4 linked regions of the Arabidopsis thaliana genome follow. The protein of the gene in region 3 interacts with the protein of the main gene of each other region in a pairwise test. Each region holds a gene or a part of one and is shown on either strand. Other genes may lie near its edges.

Region 1 (4,741 bases), 5.4 Mb from region 3:
AACTTATTCTGCATCATCACTTTGGCTTTTGATTGGTAATCTCTATCGCATGGTACAATATTTAATGCTTTAATAGTTTACTAAACACAAAAGTATATCTACAACTATTCTAGTATTTTTTTGTACTATTGTATTTTTTGTACCTGTATTTTTTTTACTTCTTTCAACTATTCTAGTATTTTTAAAACTTTTTCCGCTTTTTTGTTTTTACCATTTTGTGTCACCAATCGAATCCGTTTGAATTAAGTTTTTTACATGGAACCAATTAAAAGAATATTCGTATATCTAAACTCCAATTATGTGTTGTACTTTTTTTTTTTTTTTGCCACGATATGTTAACATTATCAATTGCAAATTTTTTTATGGACTTTAATTGAGTTTTAAAAATATTTGACTTCTTTGAAATTATAAATAGTCACAATCCATAGCTGTGAAAGTTGGCATTATAAAACAAAATAAGCCATTGAAAAAACACATGCGATATATATCCCGTCTAGTTTTCAATTGTATAAAACTATAAATTGTTGATTGAATAAATGATAGTAATGTTTTAAAATGTTAAGCATTTTTAACCCCAAAAAGTGTTGCATTTAGTCATTTTGCAATGATGCTTCGGGAGTTGAAAGTTAATAAAAATTACAGATTCTGCTATCGAAGATTATAACGATATATTAAAGTTGCTTAACTTCGATACATGCACTCATATAGAGAAATACATATGATCAAGCAACAAGGATTTATCGTCTTTCCCTTGCAAAAATACATAGAAGATACCAAAAAAATGAAGTTAAAAGTTTGAGATTTCGACAAATTTTGGAGATCTTTCTCAAGGAAGAGGAGGAACATTAGAAACTCCTTGACGTTGTAACTCCGTCATAACACCGTCAACCGACGGCGGTTTCAGTCCCAAAGGAAGCGGCAGCCACGGCTTTGATATAACGTCCCCAATAGCTGCATCTATGCTCTCATTCGACTGCAACCGTCAAGTAATGAAATATTGTTAATTATCCAAAATTTATTCGAAAACTTTTTTGGGTTATGTCATAATCAAAATCTAATAAACAAAATTGAAACCAAAAAAGGTGCACTCACGGGATGAATGTCGATGGGAGGATTAGTGGGTCCTAATTGTCTTGTGGGAACACCGATGCTTGAATGATTCGATGATGCCATACCATATCCCTACACATATATACACATAAACCATGATTAGAAATATGTTTTTGTAAAATCCATACATAATTCATAGCTCTAAATCTTTATTAGTTGTCTACATAAAAATGATTCATGATCTTGCAATCTTTTACTAATTGCGTTGTTAGACAAAACCACAATCTAATTCAATGATTCCGTTTTATACTTATATATGTTGCATGTGTTAAAAAGCCAATAGTGTACAAAGACTAGCTTTTTGCAGTGTCATGATTGTTCAACAAAGCTGATTTAGTTATGTCATTTCGATTATTTTTCATGATTTAACCATACAACTAATAATGGAAAAACATGTAACATTTTTACAAATGAATTATTATTACCTGTGGATAGAGTGGTTGCTGATGCCAGTACGGTGGATGACCTGGCCAAGATGCCGGAGCCGCCGCAATGGCCGGCATTGGATACGTCCGATGAGCAGACGCCGGAGTATTAGGCTTGTGTTTTGGCCACGTAGGATGACCCCATACGTGCAAAGGCCTGAAGTGACCATGATGCATTGGTGCCACGTGTGGAGGATAGCCTAAGGCAGGAGCTGTCCACGGCTTCTTCCCTCCTCCTCCTACTCCGGGCACTGCCACCGTGGCATGTCTCCGGAGATTCCAGCTGGCAGCTTCTGCTTCACGCGCTAGTAGATGTTTCCGATGTGACCTATATTTCTATCATTACAAGAAGAACACAACACAAATTAATCTTATTACACAAATCTGAGTTGGTTAGTATTTTACTTGTCTTTTCATAAAAAATTTTGAAGGAAAAACATGTAATCTATAAATTAGGTAATTACTATGTTAGGGGTTATAGCACTTGATTAATTCCTGTTAAAATTAGTTTGTATAGTTTTAGTCTAAAATTTACCTGAAGATGGCTAGCAACGTTGTGACGAGTGAGAGATTTAACGTTCATAATTTCCAAGATTCGAGACGGCACCGCCTTGTCTACCCCTAATTGCTCCACCGCTTGTACAAATTTCCGGTGTAACTCCGGCGTCCAATCCACCTGATTTGCCGGAACAATATATTAATTAATCAATAAATGAAAAGAAAAAAAAGGAATTCATTTTTTTTATAGAAAATTGTCTTACAGTTTTATAAAAAAAAATATTTAGTCCAAATAAACACACAAATTTGTATAGTCCTACTACACAAAACTTGGTTTTGGTCCTAGATCTACTCCAGTTATCAAACTTAATAATAATTGTGTATATGATAAATACACTAATTCACTAACTTTGTAAAAAAAATATTCAGAAACACTAGAAGTTTATGTTTTTTTAATGAAATCCTTAAAAAGGTTGGTGATTTCTTAATGGGATTTTTTACCTTTAAAGAAGAAAAAAAATAAACTAATCTAACATGGATAATTGGGAAATAAACACACCTTAGGTTTTTTCTTAATATCGTTCTCATCGGATAAACAATCTTTACTTTTCTTCCCTTTACGTTTGCCTCGACGCACCGTTTTGTCCCTAAAACCACCGTCACCACCACCACCACCCTCTTGCTTACACACACCAACGTCTCTCTCCGATGTCTCCGATGCCGTCGAAGTGTTACCCTCCATTTCTTGTTCCTCATCTCTTCCGCTACCGGAATATTCCCCAAGAATCTCCGAATCTATCTCCAAATCCGGCAAAACATCGTCTCCATCGAAACCAATGAAAAGATCGTCGTAGTAATCGATTCCATCAAGAAGATCATCGGAAAAATCCCCGACCGTCGTAAAGTCCGGCAAGTCTTCCGTCGTAAAATCTGCGAAATCTGCCGCCATGTAAGTATCCTTTGAGTTGTTTCCGATGAGTACTGGAGCCGGAGAAACAGTTAACATCGGAATCGTAAAAAAATGAAAATTCTAAAGGTTTTTTGAAAAATTTAGAGAAAACAAGAATGATACAGTGAAAGTAGTATATGAGTGTATATATATATATAGACGTGTGTGTCTGAATAGATATAGATAGTTCCAAGGTTTTATTAAAATCTTTTATATGCCGTATATATGTGTTGGTGGATACTGACATGAAAAATAAGTTGTGGTTGAGAGATAGGAGAGAGAGATTTTTAAGTTTTTTTATTCTTTTCGTAAATTTAATATTTTATTTTTGAAAATATTCAATTCAATACCATATTTTATATTCTAGTATAAGTTTATAATTGACAGTTTCCTTTTAAACATTATGGCTGTATTACAATGAATGGAAAAAATTACAAGAGCTATTAAAGATTTAAAGAGTCAAATATAGGAAATGAGAAATATTTTTGTCTATGTATACACTATTGAAATGCTCCTTTCTTGGTTGTCCCAAAAATAAAGAGGAAATGCTTTCTACATTTTTTTAGTATTTGCATAAAATGACAAAACTTTGACGACTAGCAATTAAGCAAATGCGTAAGTATTTTTTTAATAAAAAGTGATTTTTTTTTACATTTTGGAGTATAAGACTAATAATTATTTTGGGAAAAATTCAAAAATACCATTAATATTTTCTATTTATAAAAATATCAAATTTATTTTATCCATTTTCAAAAATATCACAAATATATGGATATAAAAAATTATAGAGTATGTTATAAGAAAGTTTATAAAGTCTCTATAACACATGTTATTGAGTCTTTGTAAAGTTTTGAAATTGTATGAGGTTTTGTACTTTTGTACGTCAAATTTTAAAATGATATTTTAAACAAATTTTCATTAATGCTTTTTTGAAAGTGGCATAAAAAATTGGTGCCTCAAAAAGTTTCCTAATTTTTCACAGTATGTTACTTCTTTTTTTTTTTATGTGGATTTCTTATTCATAAAATTATTTTTTATGTGTTTTACTTACAAAGTATAAAATGTTACAAAATGCATGCTTTTTCGTCTAATTATGCTATTTTAGAATCAAGCGCTACTACTATATAATAAGATTTTGTATAGCTTATATATATATATATATATTTATATATATAATAATAATTTTCTACATATTTGTTTGGGTATAAGTTTTAAGATCCATGATTTTTTTTAAGGAAAACGTTGTAAGAGTCCAATTTATTAAAAATAGTGGTGCATAAAGATAATTTAAAATAATTATTTGATTATTTATTTCACCAAAATGCATTTATCTTTGATGATATTCATCCTCAAAAACCACCAAAATTATACGTGTTTGAACTAATATAATTAAAGAATTGGTATCCTACAAATAATTTATTTAAACGACATTTTATGATAATAACGACAAATAAGAGTAAAGTCTATGATCGGATAGAATGGTTGTTCATAGTAGCAATAATTAATACGGTGTAGATTTCGACATACTGGATTATGGCGTGTATAAGATTTGTCTTGTTTCGGATCTTAACTAACACAAAACCTAAATGTTACATTTATCAAAAACGGTTTTTTACAAGGCGATTTGTTTTCTCCTTGGTTTTTCTTTTAGTTTTATTTTTTACAGAACTGATGTGGATATTCATAAATCATAGATAAAACAATTTATCCTACTATATTATTTGGGAAGTACATTTTAAATGTAACCTTAATTTTTGTA
Region 2 (3,468 bases), about 14 Mb from region 3:
ATTAAAATTACAGTTGTAGTAATGTTGTTATTTCAAAGGTACATATATATTTCCATTATGTAACTTGCTGATATTAGCATTCAGTACCATCCTTCTTTTACTACACCACCGAGAGAGATAAGTTACTTTCTTTTTTTTCGTTTTCTTATGGACATGGATGCAAATATACAGACAAAAAAAAGCATATGTTGAATAATTATTAGGGTTAAGAATGATTATTAGTAGGGTGAAAATGATCAATTATTTGATAAAAAGTTAATGACCTTCTCTAGTTGTTTTTCTTGTCGTCATAATTGCGGTCTAGGATTCTTTCATCAATTTGATACTGGATTGAACTAATAATATTTGGCACTTGTTATTTTGATGTATCCATTCTACCTACACACTCTTTTGCCCAACATATTCTTCTATTACCTCTTATTCCAATTATAATTGACTCTAAAAGGATATAGTCTCAATTGGAGATTATTTTTTTTTTAAATATGCGTGCGACTGAATATGATCGACATAACCTTTACTTTTATTTGATGAAACTTTGTCGAACAAAAGATAAATTGGCAAACAAAAACATCCATATATAAACCCAAATAAGAAGTGGTTACTATGTGACATTCCCTATACAATTAACATATACTACTATCTAAAAATTGTAGATAAGTTTATGCAATATTATACTAATTCCCTCTCCAAGTTTCAGTAATGGGCATAATCACATATTTATTAATTATTAAACCTATGTTTTTAATTGAAAAATAATGTATTAGAGTTTTTTTTTTAATAGGTCGCAGACTCGTAGGTAAACTGTACACTCAGAAATCATGGGTATGATGACAATACATTAAGGTTTGTTTCAATAATAACAATACAAAATAATATTAAAGAAGGGAAAAGAGAAGATGATAATCGAAGATGGTTTTGGGTGTTTGATTGAGTCATTATCAAAGGCTCACATGGGTGAAGAATGGTGATGAAAGAGTCTCGCTAGTTATCAAACTATATATTTTCCAATTATTTATCGTTATTATTAATTAGTTGGGGAAAAATTTGGCAGTATCTATGATATAGAGACATGTTGTGATGATCAAACCCATGTGAAAATAGGTACAGTGGGTTTGAAGTTTCACCGCAGCCAAATCTCTTTGGATCCAACTTGTTCACAATGGGAAAATTAAAATAATTGATAAATATATATGCTATATACGTAGGGTTGTTATTATATTTAGAGCTATTTATTAGTTTTATCTTAAAAATACCCCATAACTTAGGATATTATAACTATAATTGTCTAAGTATAATATGTGTAACTTGGGACAAAAGGAAAAGAAAAAGGTTTGGATTAAATTATCTTAGGTTTGATTTCTAAACCGTTTTAATTAATTTATATTTGTTGATAAAAAATTAGCTTTTGTTACAGAAATAAATTCATATGAAACTATTGAACATTTGTAATTTTGTATTCTAACAAAAACTGTGATAAGTTTGTTAATTCATAATTTAAATTCTATTTTAACTTTTAGATAAATTACGATAATACTTTCCAAAAAATATCTCTAAATAAAAAAAACACTTTTCCGACAGTTTAGCATGTAGTTTCGAAGCTTTCAATTTTCACTATAATATGTGACAGAATTAGATAATCCATTTGCCCATGTCGCAGCAACTTCGAATACAACAAATGAAGTAAATTTAAGAATACTTTAAGTTAAATAAATTAATATAACTCTCTCTCTCACATCAAACAAAATCCATGAGATTTTCTGAGTCGTATTGGTAATGGTGTGGGTCCAATTTAGGACCAAATTGATTGCCAGTTTATTGCCAAAGAAAATTTTAACACAAAAACATTTCTCTCTCTCATGAAGCTAAAGCCAACACTACTTATATAGCTACCCTTCACTCTTCCAAAAACGCTCCTTCACTCTCATCATTCTTTCTTCTTTCAAAACATTTCCACAAACACACCAAACTCACCTGAAACCCTATTTCCATTTACCATTCACACTAATGGCACGACCACAACAACGCTTTCGAGGCGTTAGACAGAGGCATTGGGGCTCTTGGGTCTCCGAAATTCGTCACCCTCTCTTGTAAAAACTCTCCCTCATCATCCTCTCAAATTACGAAATTACCCTCGGTCGCTTTTTATTTGAGTAATGCTAAACTTTTTTGTTTTTTTTTTGTTTTTTTTAGGAAAACAAGAATCTGGCTAGGGACGTTTGAGACAGCGGAGGATGCAGCAAGGGCCTACGACGAGGCGGCTAGGCTAATGTGTGGCCCGAGAGCTCGTACTAATTTCCCATACAACCCTAATGCCATTCCTACTTCCTCTTCCAAGCTTCTATCAGCAACTCTTACCGCTAAACTCCACAAATGCTACATGGCTTCTCTTCAAATGACCAAGCAAACGCAAACACAAACGCAAACGCAGACCGCAAGATCACAATCCGCGGACAGTGACGGTGTGACGGCTAACGAAAGTCATTTGAACAGAGGAGTAACGGAGACGACAGAGATCAAGTGGGAAGATGGAAATGCGAATATGCAACAGAATTTTAGGCCATTGGAGGAAGATCATATCGAGCAAATGATTGAGGAGCTGCTTCACTACGGTTCCATTGAGCTTTGCTCTGTTTTACCAACTCAGACGCTGTGAGAAATGGCCTTGTCGTTTTAGCGTATTCTTTTCATTTTTATTTTTGTTTCCACAAAAACGGCGTCGTAAGTGATGAGAGTAGTAGTGAGAGAAGGCTAATTTCAAGACATTTTGATCTGAATTGGCCTCTTTTGAAACACTGATTCTAGTTTCTATAAGAGCAATCGATCATATGCTATGTTATGTATAGTATTATAAAAAAATGTTATTTTCTGATTTTTCTCCATGTAAACCAATTGAACACTTGAAACCAAAAACTAAAAATTACACATGTGTTCGTGTGTGAAAAAGTGGGAATTTAATGTAGTGAAAAGATACAACAATGAGAAGAAAGATATCTAAAGTAGTGAAGAGAGATGAGAGTTTGAATATTTTGAGTTAGCTTTTGGTTTTGTTCCATGCATGTTCTAATTTTTCAACGGTGGGCCTTCATTTTTTTATTTTTATTTTTGGTAATTTGGGATTGCTGCTAAGTAGAAAAAGAGTGTCCCTAGCTGTGGCTTGACGACCATAAAATCCAACTTTTTAATTAGAGGGATTTGTGTTTTCTAGCACCTTATATTAAAATAGAAAAAATAATTTAGCTACATAAAATAGGTGTTTGACTGCAATTACTCTGTTTCCTTAGAACACTCTGTTCTTCGAACAGTCCAAACCTATTATTTATTTGTTTTGTTTGTAATGCGAATAAAAGGAAACTAGTGTTTTCCGACCACTACTTTAACTTTTGTAACAAAATATGATTTACATTTACTACCTTAAGGTTGAATACGAAAATAAAAATATTCTCTAGCAAAGAATGGAAAACATAACAT
Region 3 (5,762 bases):
GCAGAAACGTTTGAAAGTTTAACATAAAACTAACCTTGAAAAAGTAAGTCAATGAAAGAAATAAATTTTCAATTATCATGTCTATATATATATCCAAAAAATTATCTAAAATATAGATAAGAAAGTATCAATTTATGCTAATATTTTTTTCCCAAATATGCTAAATTAGTAAATTTGAAAAAAAAAAAAAATCTTACTAATAAAGGGAAATTAGTAAAATAATAAAGTCGGTTTTTTAAGAACACGTGAAAACGTCTCCGACCAGGCGACCATAATCAGTTAATTGAGAAAGCACCACGTCATCAAAGAAATCTAGTAGAGCCAATGGGTATGTGCCACGTCAATGGATAAGGTGACCTTTCCTCGTTTTCTCTTTAAGATCCCAAAAAGATTTTGCAGATTTGGATGATGATGATGTGGTTTTTACATCTTTTTAGAAAATAATCCAAAAACAGAATCACATTTCCCTCCAGTCAAAAAGGATCATTAATGACTATTACTCACTAAACAACCTGGATTAAACTCTTGAGCATCTTTTCTTGGTTAAACTTTATTCAAGAAGAACAGAAATCGGATATCACAACCAAATCAATAAATTAAAACTGAGAAATCTTATTAAAACTATTACTATTATCAAAAATATATATCAAATTTTAAATAAAATCTTCTACAAAACCTGTAAAAAAATATAACTTCGAATTCTATTTAAAATCTAGATATCATAAACTAAAATATAAACCAATATATGGCTTCACTTCTAGCTACAATTAATCAGGGTCGGCTCAAAATAATAAAGGACCCAGAGCTGAAAAAAAAATTAGTTCTCATTTCCTATGTTTTGTTATGTAAATCTTTTTTTTGGATCGTAATTGTATTAGATTTACTTCAAAAAAAAGAGAAATTTTGGGTTGACTCTGTGCCTCGCTCCTCCGGCACATGTGTAGAGCCGGACCTGCAATTAATAGAAACAAAAATTAAACTAATATATGGTGACTCTAAATTGAAACTAAAACTAATAGTGGATAAATTTGTTTAACTCTATACTAGTTTAAAGAGCTGAAATTAAATATTGTGAATGGTAGAACTCGATTTTTGGTATCAACTAAGAAGAAAAATCCTCAACCTCAACTAATATAATACTGCCACAGGCTGGATTAGACAATTGATCGGCGCTACATCATTACTTACCACTTAATCGATGATGTGATTAATATTTTTCAATCATGAGTAATTTCGATAAATCACACTCAAAATATTTATCCCCCTTTCAAATTAATGACTGATCGCTGTTATATTACTTACTCACCACAAGATCGATATGCAAAATAATATCTTAAATTTTTGGGTAAAAATTATTGTGTAACAAGTGGATAATATCAATAAATCAATACATAAAAGATTTACTCAATTTGAATTAATGACTTACTGTCGTTATATTAATGTAATACATAAAAATTTAACTTTAAGAATGAACGATCGTCGCTACATTACATTATTACCAAATCGTCACAAAATTAATATTTTATATTTTGAGTAAATGTTAATGAACAAATAAATTTGTTAAATCAACACATAACAAATTTAATTCAATCGTATTATGACCGATCGTTGCCACAATCATATCGCTTTATTATAGGTTTAACAATTGATTTTTCATTATTTTGTTTTCAATCTCCAAATCATTTCTCAATAACTCTCAAACATTGTTTAAAGCTTTTTTTCTTAATTAACATTATAACAAAAAAATAAATAGAGAAATTTACTTTGATTCAAACACCAGTCATTGTAGATTAGCCAAGAGTTTTCAGTAACAAAATTTACCTTATAAACCTTTTGAATGGCTATTTCTGAAATGGAATAGAAATCTTTAGTCGTGGAAGTATCTCTATCCATAAGAAAACTCGTTTTACAAAGTAATTTTAAATCAATACAAAAAGTGAAAAAATCCACTGGTGGACCCCATTCATTCCAGAATTGCCGATTACGAGCTATCTTGTCCCTTCTTCACCATTCGCTCACTCTCTCTCTCTCTCTCTCGTCTTCTTCTTCCCACCACTCTCTCTGTTTCTCCACAACTTCTCTTCTCAAAGTTAAAATTACCCCTAAACCAAAAAAAAAAAAAACGCTCTTCACTATTTATTTACTAAACTCTCCTTTGTTTGTTACTAAGCTCTCACTAAAACCCTAATCTTTCTCCTCTTATATATCTCGTGACTCTTCTTTCTCCTCCAATCTCTCTCTCCCTCTTCACAAACCAATTAGCTTCTTTCTGTAAAACCTCACTCGTTGGCCAATTCTTTTGGTTTTCATACACATAAATCTCAGATTCCAAATGGGTTTTCTTAGCTCTTTCTTTCAAATGATGAACATTTGTTAGCAGAATCTTCCTCTTTCCCTAAAGTTTTGATCTTTTTTTCCCCCTTCAATTTTGTATTTTCTCACCAAATAAAAAAAGGTTTCTTCAGTGGGTTTTAAGGGTTTATTATTATCTTAAAATTAAACACAATTCTTTAATCAAAAGGCAAAAATCTTAATTTCATCACTCTCTTCTCACTCACAAAAGTTCTTACAATCTTCAAAGTTTTGGTCTTGTTTCTTTTCCGATTTCACCGGACAAAAAAAATGTCGGCGTGTTTAAGCAGCGGAGGAGGAGGAGCAGCAGCATATAGTTTCGAGTTAGAAAAAGTGAAATCACCACCACCATCATCCTCAACAACAACAACAAGAGCTACTTCACCATCATCAACAATCTCCGAATCATCAAATTCACCACTCGCAATCTCAACGAGAAAGCCAAGAACACAACGCAAAAGACCAAACCAGACTTACAACGAAGCAGCTACTCTTCTCTCTACTGCTTATCCCAACATCTTCTCCTCAAACTTGTCCTCTAAGCAAAAAACTCACTCTTCATCAAACTCTCACTTCTACGGGCCATTGCTTAGTGACAACGACGACGCTTCTGATTTGCTTCTTCCTTATGAATCAATCGAAGAACCTGATTTTCTGTTTCATCCAACGATTCAAACGAAAACAGAGTTTTTCTCAGACCAGAAGGAAGTTAACTCCGGTGGAGATTGCTACGGTGGTGAAATCGAAAAGTTTGATTTCTCCGACGAATTCGATGCTGAATCGATTCTCGATGAGGATATTGAAGAAGGAATCGATAGTATAATGGGGACTGTGGTGGAATCGAATTCAAATTCGGGGATTTATGAATCTAGGGTTCCGGGAATGATCAATCGCGGTGGAAGAAGTTCTTCTAATCGGATTGGTAAACTAGAACAGATGATGATGATCAATTCATGGAATCGAAGCTCTAACGGATTCAATTTCCCGTTAGGGCTTGGATTACGAAGTGCTCTCAGAGAAAACGACGACACAAAATTGTGGAAGATTCATACCGTTGATTTCGAACAGATCTCGCCGCGAATTCAAACTGTCAAAACCGAAACTGCAATCTCCACCGTTGATGAGGAGAAATCCGACGGTAAGAAGGTGGTAATCTCTGGAGAGAAGAGTAATAAGAAGAAGAAGAAGAAGAAAATGACGGTGACGACGACATTGATTACGGAATCGAAAAGCTTGGAAGATACGGAGGAGACGAGTTTGAAGAGAACAGGTCCGTTGTTGAAGCTTGATTACGACGGCGTTTTGGAAGCTTGGTCTGATAAAACGTCGCCGTTTCCCGACGAGATTCAGGGATCGGAAGCTGTCGATGTCAATGTATGTTTAACACTAATCTCTTCTTAATCTCAAATCCCTCGCCGTTAAAATTCGATATTTTCTATGTTTATTTTTCTTTAGTTAATGGTTAGTTTGAAATAATTAATTATTCGGGATTCTGTTTTGGCCATTAGTATTCTGCCACGTGGCTGTTGAGGAGTGTGTTCTCATTAATGCTGAATTAGTAATTTATTAGCTATGATATAGTTTGAAGTATCTGACAAGAATTTATTAAATTTTGTGGAAAGTTCTTATTAATAATTTTTCCTGTAACGTATTTTGAAGAATAATTATTAACCCTTTGACTTTGGTACATAGTCTTCTTTTTATTATAAATAACATTTTTTTCTGTGATGACTTTCAATCAATTAAGAAAAAAAAAAGCTGCTTTTTATTTGTCCAATGAAAACTTTATAGACTGTGCACGTGAATTTTCACGTATAGGATAAATGAGGAGGTTCAAAATTTATTTTGTAGATATCCGTTTCGTCGAATACTCCTTTTAGCATAAAGTCTAGTAGTCTACAAAATAAGTTAACTAGAAATTCATTTTTGTCAATTGATTAGTATTTTGTGTTATTAATAATGTTGAACATGAACTAATGTGGCGTGTGTGTTTTGGGGCAGGCTAGATTAGCTCAGATTGATTTGTTCGGAGACAGTGGAATGCGAGAAGCAAGTGTTTTGAGGTACAAAGAGAAACGTCGAACTCGTCTTTTTTCGAAGAAAATTCGATACCAAGTTCGCAAACTCAATGCTGATCAACGTCCTCGAATGAAGGTATCTAACCCATCTTAGTCAGTGGTTAAAAACATGTAGGTTTTTTTTACCATCCTTCAAAATTTGTTTTGAATCAGCATAATAAGACTAGCTTTAGTTTTCAGATTTAAAGTAGATGAGAAAACTCTTGTTGAGTTTTTCTATTCGTTTTTTTTCTTCAAGAAGATGAAATAAGCTTTCTTTTGGGTATCTTTATTCCAAATGAACCAAACCGAACAAGTAAAGGAAACTACGTACCACAAGCCAAACAAAAAGATTTAAAACCAAACCAAAGGTTAAATATATTAAGAATTGTCATCTAAAGGAAACAAAACTAACTAATAACGTTAGATTGAGGTCAAGGGCTAGGGATATATACATTAGATTTGATTAAGACAAGAACCTAATATTAATGTTTTCTTTTCTTTTTGTGGTTGGTGATGGGATGTGGGAACAGGGACGATTCGTGAGAAGGCCCAATGAGAGCACTCCAAGTGGACAAAGATAACAAGGATAAAAGAGCCTAGATTTATCTTATCTTTTTTTTTTTATCTTTTGTTTATTCCTTGTTTTATTTTTGTTTCTAAAATTTTGGCACCCTCCTTTTTTGTTTCTTTTAAGTTATGGTCCCTTTTGGTTTATAATTTAGATTTTTTGATGAGGGGGAGATTTGATTGAGAAAGTGAGGGATCAAAACTAATAAAAGTTTTTGTTATTAATAGAAGAAACAGAGCTCTTGAGATTTTAATGACTCAAGAAGCAAGTCAGAGACTTGGCTCAACAACAACAGTAGCAAAAAACAAGACATGGATTATTCACCAATCCCAATGGCTCAAACTATGTTGCAGCCTTGTACACCTGTTGTTTCGTTGCCCATTGCTTCTTTGAGTCATCAAAACCGGTGACAAATCATTGATACCTCTCAATATCTGTTTTTGCCGAGCCAAATTTCCTTTCCCAATAAAAACATTATAGAGAAAAAGCATATTGAATTAAGGGCAAAAATAGCTTCTAGGACGTGTTATATGATTTTTGAATGGTAGCTTCTTCTAGATACCATTTTATCTTTGACCAAGAATCGAGTGTTATTTTACAAGGCTTGACGGAATGGCAAAAACAGAACTCTCTGCACAAGGAATGTGTTGAGCTCATTACTTGTATACATGATACAAGAGATATCGTTTGGTTTATATACAGAGTTATTATGCACGAAACAAGAGGAAAATCAAATCAAACCAAATTGGTCTCTGGTAATCAGTTCAGTGGCAAAGATTTTC
Region 4 (5,324 bases), on a different chromosome or scaffold from region 3:
GTGTTTTCAATATAAATGAAAAAATCTCATGAGGGTTGAATATTTGTTGGTTTTTTGGCAGGCACGTCCAAGGCTAATCGAGGCCATTGAAAAAGGTGACATCAGCGAAGTAGTGGATCCACGGCTAGAGAATGATTACGTCGAAAGTGAAGTCTATAAAATGATTGAAACGGCAGCGTCTTGTGTTAGACATTCCGCTTTAAAACGACCTCGTATGGTTCAGGTCAGAAATAGAAACACTTCTTGACTTGACCTAATAATATACAGCTAGAAAAAGAAACAAACCATCTGATTGATCAAGAGTGTTTCTCTTTTTGCAGGTTGTTAGAGCTCTGGACACGAGAGATGACTTGTCGGATCTGACAAACGGAGTTAAAGTGGGTCAAAGTAGGGTCTACGACTCCGGTCAATACAGTAATGAGATTCGAATTTTCAGACGAGCCTCTGAAGATTCCTCGGATCTTGGTACTAATACTGGCTACTACCCTAGCCAAGACTACGCCACTAGCCATGAATATGAATCTGAGAGCCGAGCCTTCAACACAAGTCACCGGAACCATTGAAACCAATAAATTAAACTCAAGTTGTTGTGTTTTGTTTTTCTTAGTTCTTAGGGACGACGACCCTTTAGAATTATATTTGTGAAAGATCTTAATGAAAACCCAATGACAAACCAGAAGAATGTATAGTTTCAAACATGTAAACTGTCACCTAAAAGCTTGTGAGAAATCATATCTCTAGCAGTAACTTGTGACTGAAGCAAACAAAACATTTGACCTTTTGAGGTTATGTACTCTGTTTTACTGAGTTTTCATATTGAAGTTATCATCATCTTGAGCAGTAAATCTCTCAATATTCCACATGCAATCCCGTCTTTGTTCGCCTAAGAATGAATAAATCCAAAACTGTTTATCAGAATTCAAGAATCTGAGATTACGTGCAGGGGCAATGAGATGTGATTACGTTACTACCTTGACATTGAGAACGGTCATGACTGTGAGATCGAGTCTGGTGAAATTGACGTCAATGATCTCAAGTTCACATAAATCTACAGCTTCTATCAACCTCTTGAATCCATCTTGTTTATGTTCCTGCACAACCCGAATCAAGAAATCTCGCTCACCAGTCTCGTGGACTTCAATTTTCACCTGAAAAGAAACCAGAGTTTGTGGGATTTTACAACTCAGATATAGATTATCTTGAAGGTCTATATATTCGAATAATACCTCGTTTTTCTTCACTCTCTTGTTGCTTTTAGAGGAAACTCTTTCAGCTTCTGGATCAGCTATTGCAGATTGTTCCTCTGCAGCGATTTCTTTGCATTCCATCTCATTGATTCCTTTAAGCTCATCTTCAAGTTTCTGCTTCTCCACTAGCAGTTCATTGATGTAATCAACAGCATCACTGAAAATTCCAATTTTGTTCAACTGCATATAGCACAAAGAAAGATAAATATAATAATCCTATGGAAAGTGCTACATTGACCACAAGAAGAGTGATCCAGAAACTGCATTGAGTTTCAGAAGAAACCTTTGTGATTTTAGGGACTACGGCTCTTAGACCATACATGGCCTGATTAATTCTCTCTCTTCTTTTCCTCTCTGAATGAAGGTTCTTTGATTTGAAGTTTTCCGTAGGAAGCAGCTTCTTATTAGCTTTGGAATCGTTGGCATTTTGCACCACAACATCCTTTTCCTTGTTCATTATCAAACACGGTGTTTGTTCCTCCCTGAGAATTTCCACACAACTAGCATTCGGGTAATTGCCGAAAAGATTCTGAGTTTCACTGGAGGGATTGGAAACACTTGATGATCCGCCGCCCTCAACGCTGAGATTCACACCGCTACTCATAGATTCCTCTGCTCGGGGAATGATCCTGAACTGCAGCCTTTGTTCAGGGAATGGTTCAAAGAAGGTGGTACAACGCGACATGATCAAATGCACCATGCTTTCATCAAACGGTCTCTGATACAGACCAACATTTTATGAAGTAACCACCAAAACCAATGACAGACTTTCTATGCGAAATGCTAACATGTTTTTACCATATCGAAAGCGAACAGCTCAACGAGACCATCACTCACAGGAACAAGAACACGAGTGCTGAACATTTCCTGCCAAAACACATGGAGATCAGATTGTTCTTATGATCAAACGAGTAAAAAAGGCTGACGAAAAGAGTCTTTTTTACCATTTTAGATCCTGAATTAACCAACCACTTTGGAGATTTTGACATCACTACTTCTCCATGAATCCTGCAATTGAGAAAGAAGCTTCATATTATTCTTGAAGAAAAAATTAACTTGAAAGGGGGTTGAATAGATGGAAACATACCCGGGATAGAGAGGCATGAAGAGAGGAAAACGAGAAAGCGCTTCACAAGCTAAGGTTCTTATACGATGCTTGTTGTGGTCATCTCTACAGAAAGAAGCCTTCTTTTTTCTCCCAGTTCCTCCTTCTTCTGAGTTTTCAAGCTTTATATTCTTATCAATATAACAACCACTGCAGCAGCATCCCACCCATTCAATAAACCTGTAGTTTAAATGGAATTCATACCAATTACGAGATGAAGATCATAAAACCCACAAACTTTTAGTAAAACTAGACAAGACAAAACCAAGAACAGGAGGTAGATGGTAAAGCAAAACAAACCATAAACCATTAAAATCAAAAACCAGATGAGCAAAAAAAAAAAAAAACAGAAACCAGAGAAATTTGATAGAACAGAGCCAGAAGTTACTAAGGACTAATCAAAATCAAAAAAATGGAAACTTTGCTACTGAAACAAAATAGTTTCAGGAAGCCAATAACAGAGCAAAAACAAAAAAAAAAGTCCTAATTCAGAAAGCAAAGATAAAAGACAAACACGAAAAACCCATCAGTATACATAAAAACGGAAGCTTTGCTACTGAAACAAAATAGTAGACAGCTGATGATGATTCACATGAACAACGAACAAATAACAAAGAAAAACCGGAGAGTGTGTTGAACCTAGAAGGATCATCACCGAGTTTCCAGATAACACATAAGTCCCAAGTTCTGGAATCGACAAAGGGTCGAAGAAACTCCTTCACTCTCTCACCACCTCTCATCATCATCATCTCACTCTCTCTCTCTCTCTCTCTCACTCTCTCTCTCTCTCTCTCTCTCTTACTCTCACTCTCTCAATCAACAATAAGAAAAGCCAAACAAGAAGCCTGAGTTTTGGTGATCTCTTTTGGTCTTACTTATAAATTGATGCAAGGAGAGAGGGAGAGAGAGAGAGATATTTGGCATATATATACAAAGCAGTTGCTCTGTCAAAACAAATCATATCGGGAATATACGATCGTACAAGACAATGGTAACCAACTTCACTTTTTGAATTAAAACCCAGAGAGAGAGAAAGAAAGAAGAGTGAATCGTCTGCGAGTCTCTGTACCCAAATCCGTGACAGAGGTGACTGTGACATCTGTAGAGAGAGAAGATAGGGTAAGAAAAAGAGAGGTTTTACTCTTGACTGTACGAAGAAAGCTATCATGTGCTTGAAAACGGCCATAAAGGGATTTGAAGCAAAACAAAGTACTGTATCTGTATGGGTTTTGATAGCAACACTCAACAATATGAAATGAGCTAGCTTTTTTTTTTCTGATAAAACCCATCCTCTGTACTATTTACTTTAACAAGGAAAGAGCTTTGATAGCTTTATTACTTTCAAAAGAAAAGTTTGGACCTTTGGTTCTGTTTTTGGGGTTTGTACTCTTGTTTCATGTGAAGAGAGGTATTTGGAATATGTCTTTACCAAAAAAGAGCTCAAAGATACCTTTTAAATTATTATTACAGCTAATTTATGGCTATTTTGTATCTAATTAATCAATCAAATGAGAAATGAAAAGAATGAAACTTGAATCAGACGAAAACTGTCAAAATGAATAATTTTTTAACAAGTCAAAGCTCAAGTTTAAAATTTTCCCGTCCTTTTTAAAAGCTCAACCATTTTCATCAGTCATCACTGGCAAGTTAAGAGGTATAAAATGGCGAAATATGGTGATAATATTAATGTAGTGTTATATGGAGAAATAGATGCCAATGTATACATTTGTACAGATATATAACAATTGCATACGCCAATACAATGTCTTATGTCTATGGTCATTGTTGTTCTTCCATAATGGAACCAATTGATCCAAATCTAAGGACATGACAATTTATTAACATTGCTAAGCTTAATAGAAGGTACCTTGTGTTCATAACCCGAATCAGACAGCCTTCTCAGACCAAGTATACAGTTCTGGTTAGGGTGGTGGTTATGATGACGGTTATTATTGACATCCTTAGCCCACAGTGGATAAAGTTTGAACCTTTTTACTGATAAGTCCACAGAAGTCGTTACCTTAACGTAGATCAAAAATCTCGAACCTAAGGTTCGAGTTCTTGTAGACGTTTGAGCAATGCTCATAAACTGGGTTCCCATCTTCTGGTTCTTTGTGCGGGTGGAATCCAGTCTCTGAGCAGCCTCTCAGTACCTCCATTCCTCCAGGGTCCGTTAGCTTAAATATCCCGTAACTCCTGCCAAAAAGATCAGTTTGAGAGTCTATCAAGGAAATATGTTGACTGTATAATTGACTCCATAGCTTTGGAAGAACATACTTAGAGCTATCAGTTGGAGCTACGACGATTGCAAAAGCCTCTGGCACCATTACCTAAGAATGACATGATGGGAAACTGAGATCAGAATTGTCTCAAACCTAGTATATATGCAATTTGGAAACAGCAGAGATGTACCTGATACGAATAATGTGTATGCAGATCTACAGATGACATGAAACAACCCTGAGAAGGATGAGTCTGGAAAATATGCATAACCTCGTTATAGTAAGTCAAGACAAAGTAGATAAACAGATCACTAAACATGGAGGGAGCTAGAAGAGAGAGATATACATGAATCCATCCTACGGGATAGAGTTCTCTTTCGTTTTGAATGGAAAACACTTCCACTTCATTCATAGCCTGACACTGCCAATTTTAGCACCTGAGTAAGCACCTCATTTTGAATACCACAAAATGATCGAGATAATCTTTCTAAGATAACTCACAGAATTAGAAGTTGATTCTTGCTTAGGTATTATCAGAGTGGTTACATAAAAAATTCCTCTTTCCTACAGCATGAACAGAAATAGAAATGTAATTACCATCAGGTTCATGAAACTCGAAAAACGAAGAACCCTGGAACAGAAGCAAAACAACCATGAATCATGACCACAAAAGTCAAAACAAGGTGTAAACTTTAAACAATAGCATAGATCGAGTTTCACTAAAAATTCAAATTTGCAAAGATCTCTGTT

The links.
Region 1: the proteins of CIA2 (region 3) and GLK2 interact in a two-hybrid assay, tested with the Arabidopsis thaliana proteins (one large-scale study listed by BioGRID).
Region 2: the proteins of CIA2 (region 3) and ESE3 interact in a two-hybrid assay, tested with the Arabidopsis thaliana proteins (one large-scale study listed by BioGRID).
Region 4: the proteins of CIA2 (region 3) and AT1G10610 interact in a two-hybrid assay, tested with the Arabidopsis thaliana proteins (one large-scale study listed by BioGRID).

Annotation. Positions count from the first base shown.
Region 1 is NC_003076.8:17,796,733-17,801,473, reverse strand, and holds GLK2 (GOLDEN2-like 2), read right to left. Parts: upstream 3,194-4,741; 5' UTR 3,040-3,193; coding exon 2,593-3,039; intron 2,212-2,592; coding exon 2,071-2,211; intron 1,872-2,070; coding exon 1,536-1,871; intron 1,183-1,535; coding exon 1,093-1,182; coding exon of another isoform or gene 1,048-1,092; exon of another isoform or gene 974-1,047; coding exon 827-973; 3' UTR 548-826; downstream 1-547.
Region 2 is NC_003076.8:8,706,192-8,709,659, reverse strand, and holds ESE3 (Integrase-type DNA-binding superfamily protein), read left to right. Parts: upstream 1-1,774; 5' UTR 1,775-2,004; coding exon 2,005-2,087; intron 2,088-2,190; coding exon 2,191-2,653; 3' UTR 2,654-2,915; downstream 2,916-3,468.
Region 3 is NC_003076.8:23,165,771-23,171,532, forward strand, and holds CIA2 (chloroplast import apparatus 2), read left to right. Parts: upstream 1-2,003; 5' UTR 2,004-2,622; coding exon 2,623-3,726; coding exon of another isoform or gene 3,727-3,753; exon of another isoform or gene 3,754-4,353; coding exon 4,354-4,506; coding exon of another isoform or gene 4,507-4,524; exon of another isoform or gene 4,525-4,942; coding exon 4,943-4,993; 3' UTR 4,994-5,255; downstream 5,256-5,762. Other genes in the region: PSD2 (phosphatidylserine decarboxylase 2), read right to left, coding at 5,761-5,762. UniProt on the Arabidopsis thaliana protein: Responsible for specific up-regulation of the translocon genes TOC33 and TOC75 in leaves. Involved in the general chloroplast protein import pathway regulation, including protein import and protein translation efficiencies.
Region 4 is NC_003070.9:3,504,240-3,509,563, reverse strand, and holds AT1G10610 (basic helix-loop-helix (bHLH) DNA-binding superfamily protein), read right to left. Parts: upstream 3,379-5,324; 5' UTR 3,102-3,378; coding exon 2,992-3,101; intron 2,686-2,991; exon of another isoform or gene 2,533-2,685; coding exon 2,335-2,532; intron 2,256-2,334; coding exon 2,192-2,255; intron 2,115-2,191; coding exon 2,046-2,114; intron 1,966-2,045; coding exon 1,531-1,965; intron 1,428-1,530; coding exon 1,227-1,427; intron 1,149-1,226; coding exon 972-1,148; intron 884-971; coding exon 812-883; 3' UTR 564-811; downstream 1-563. Other genes in the region: PERK11 (Protein kinase superfamily protein), read left to right, coding at 62-223, 321-563; AMSH2 (associated molecule with the SH3 domain of STAM 2), read right to left, coding at 4,374-4,548, 4,630-4,682, 4,765-4,827, 4,921-4,995, 5,076-5,138.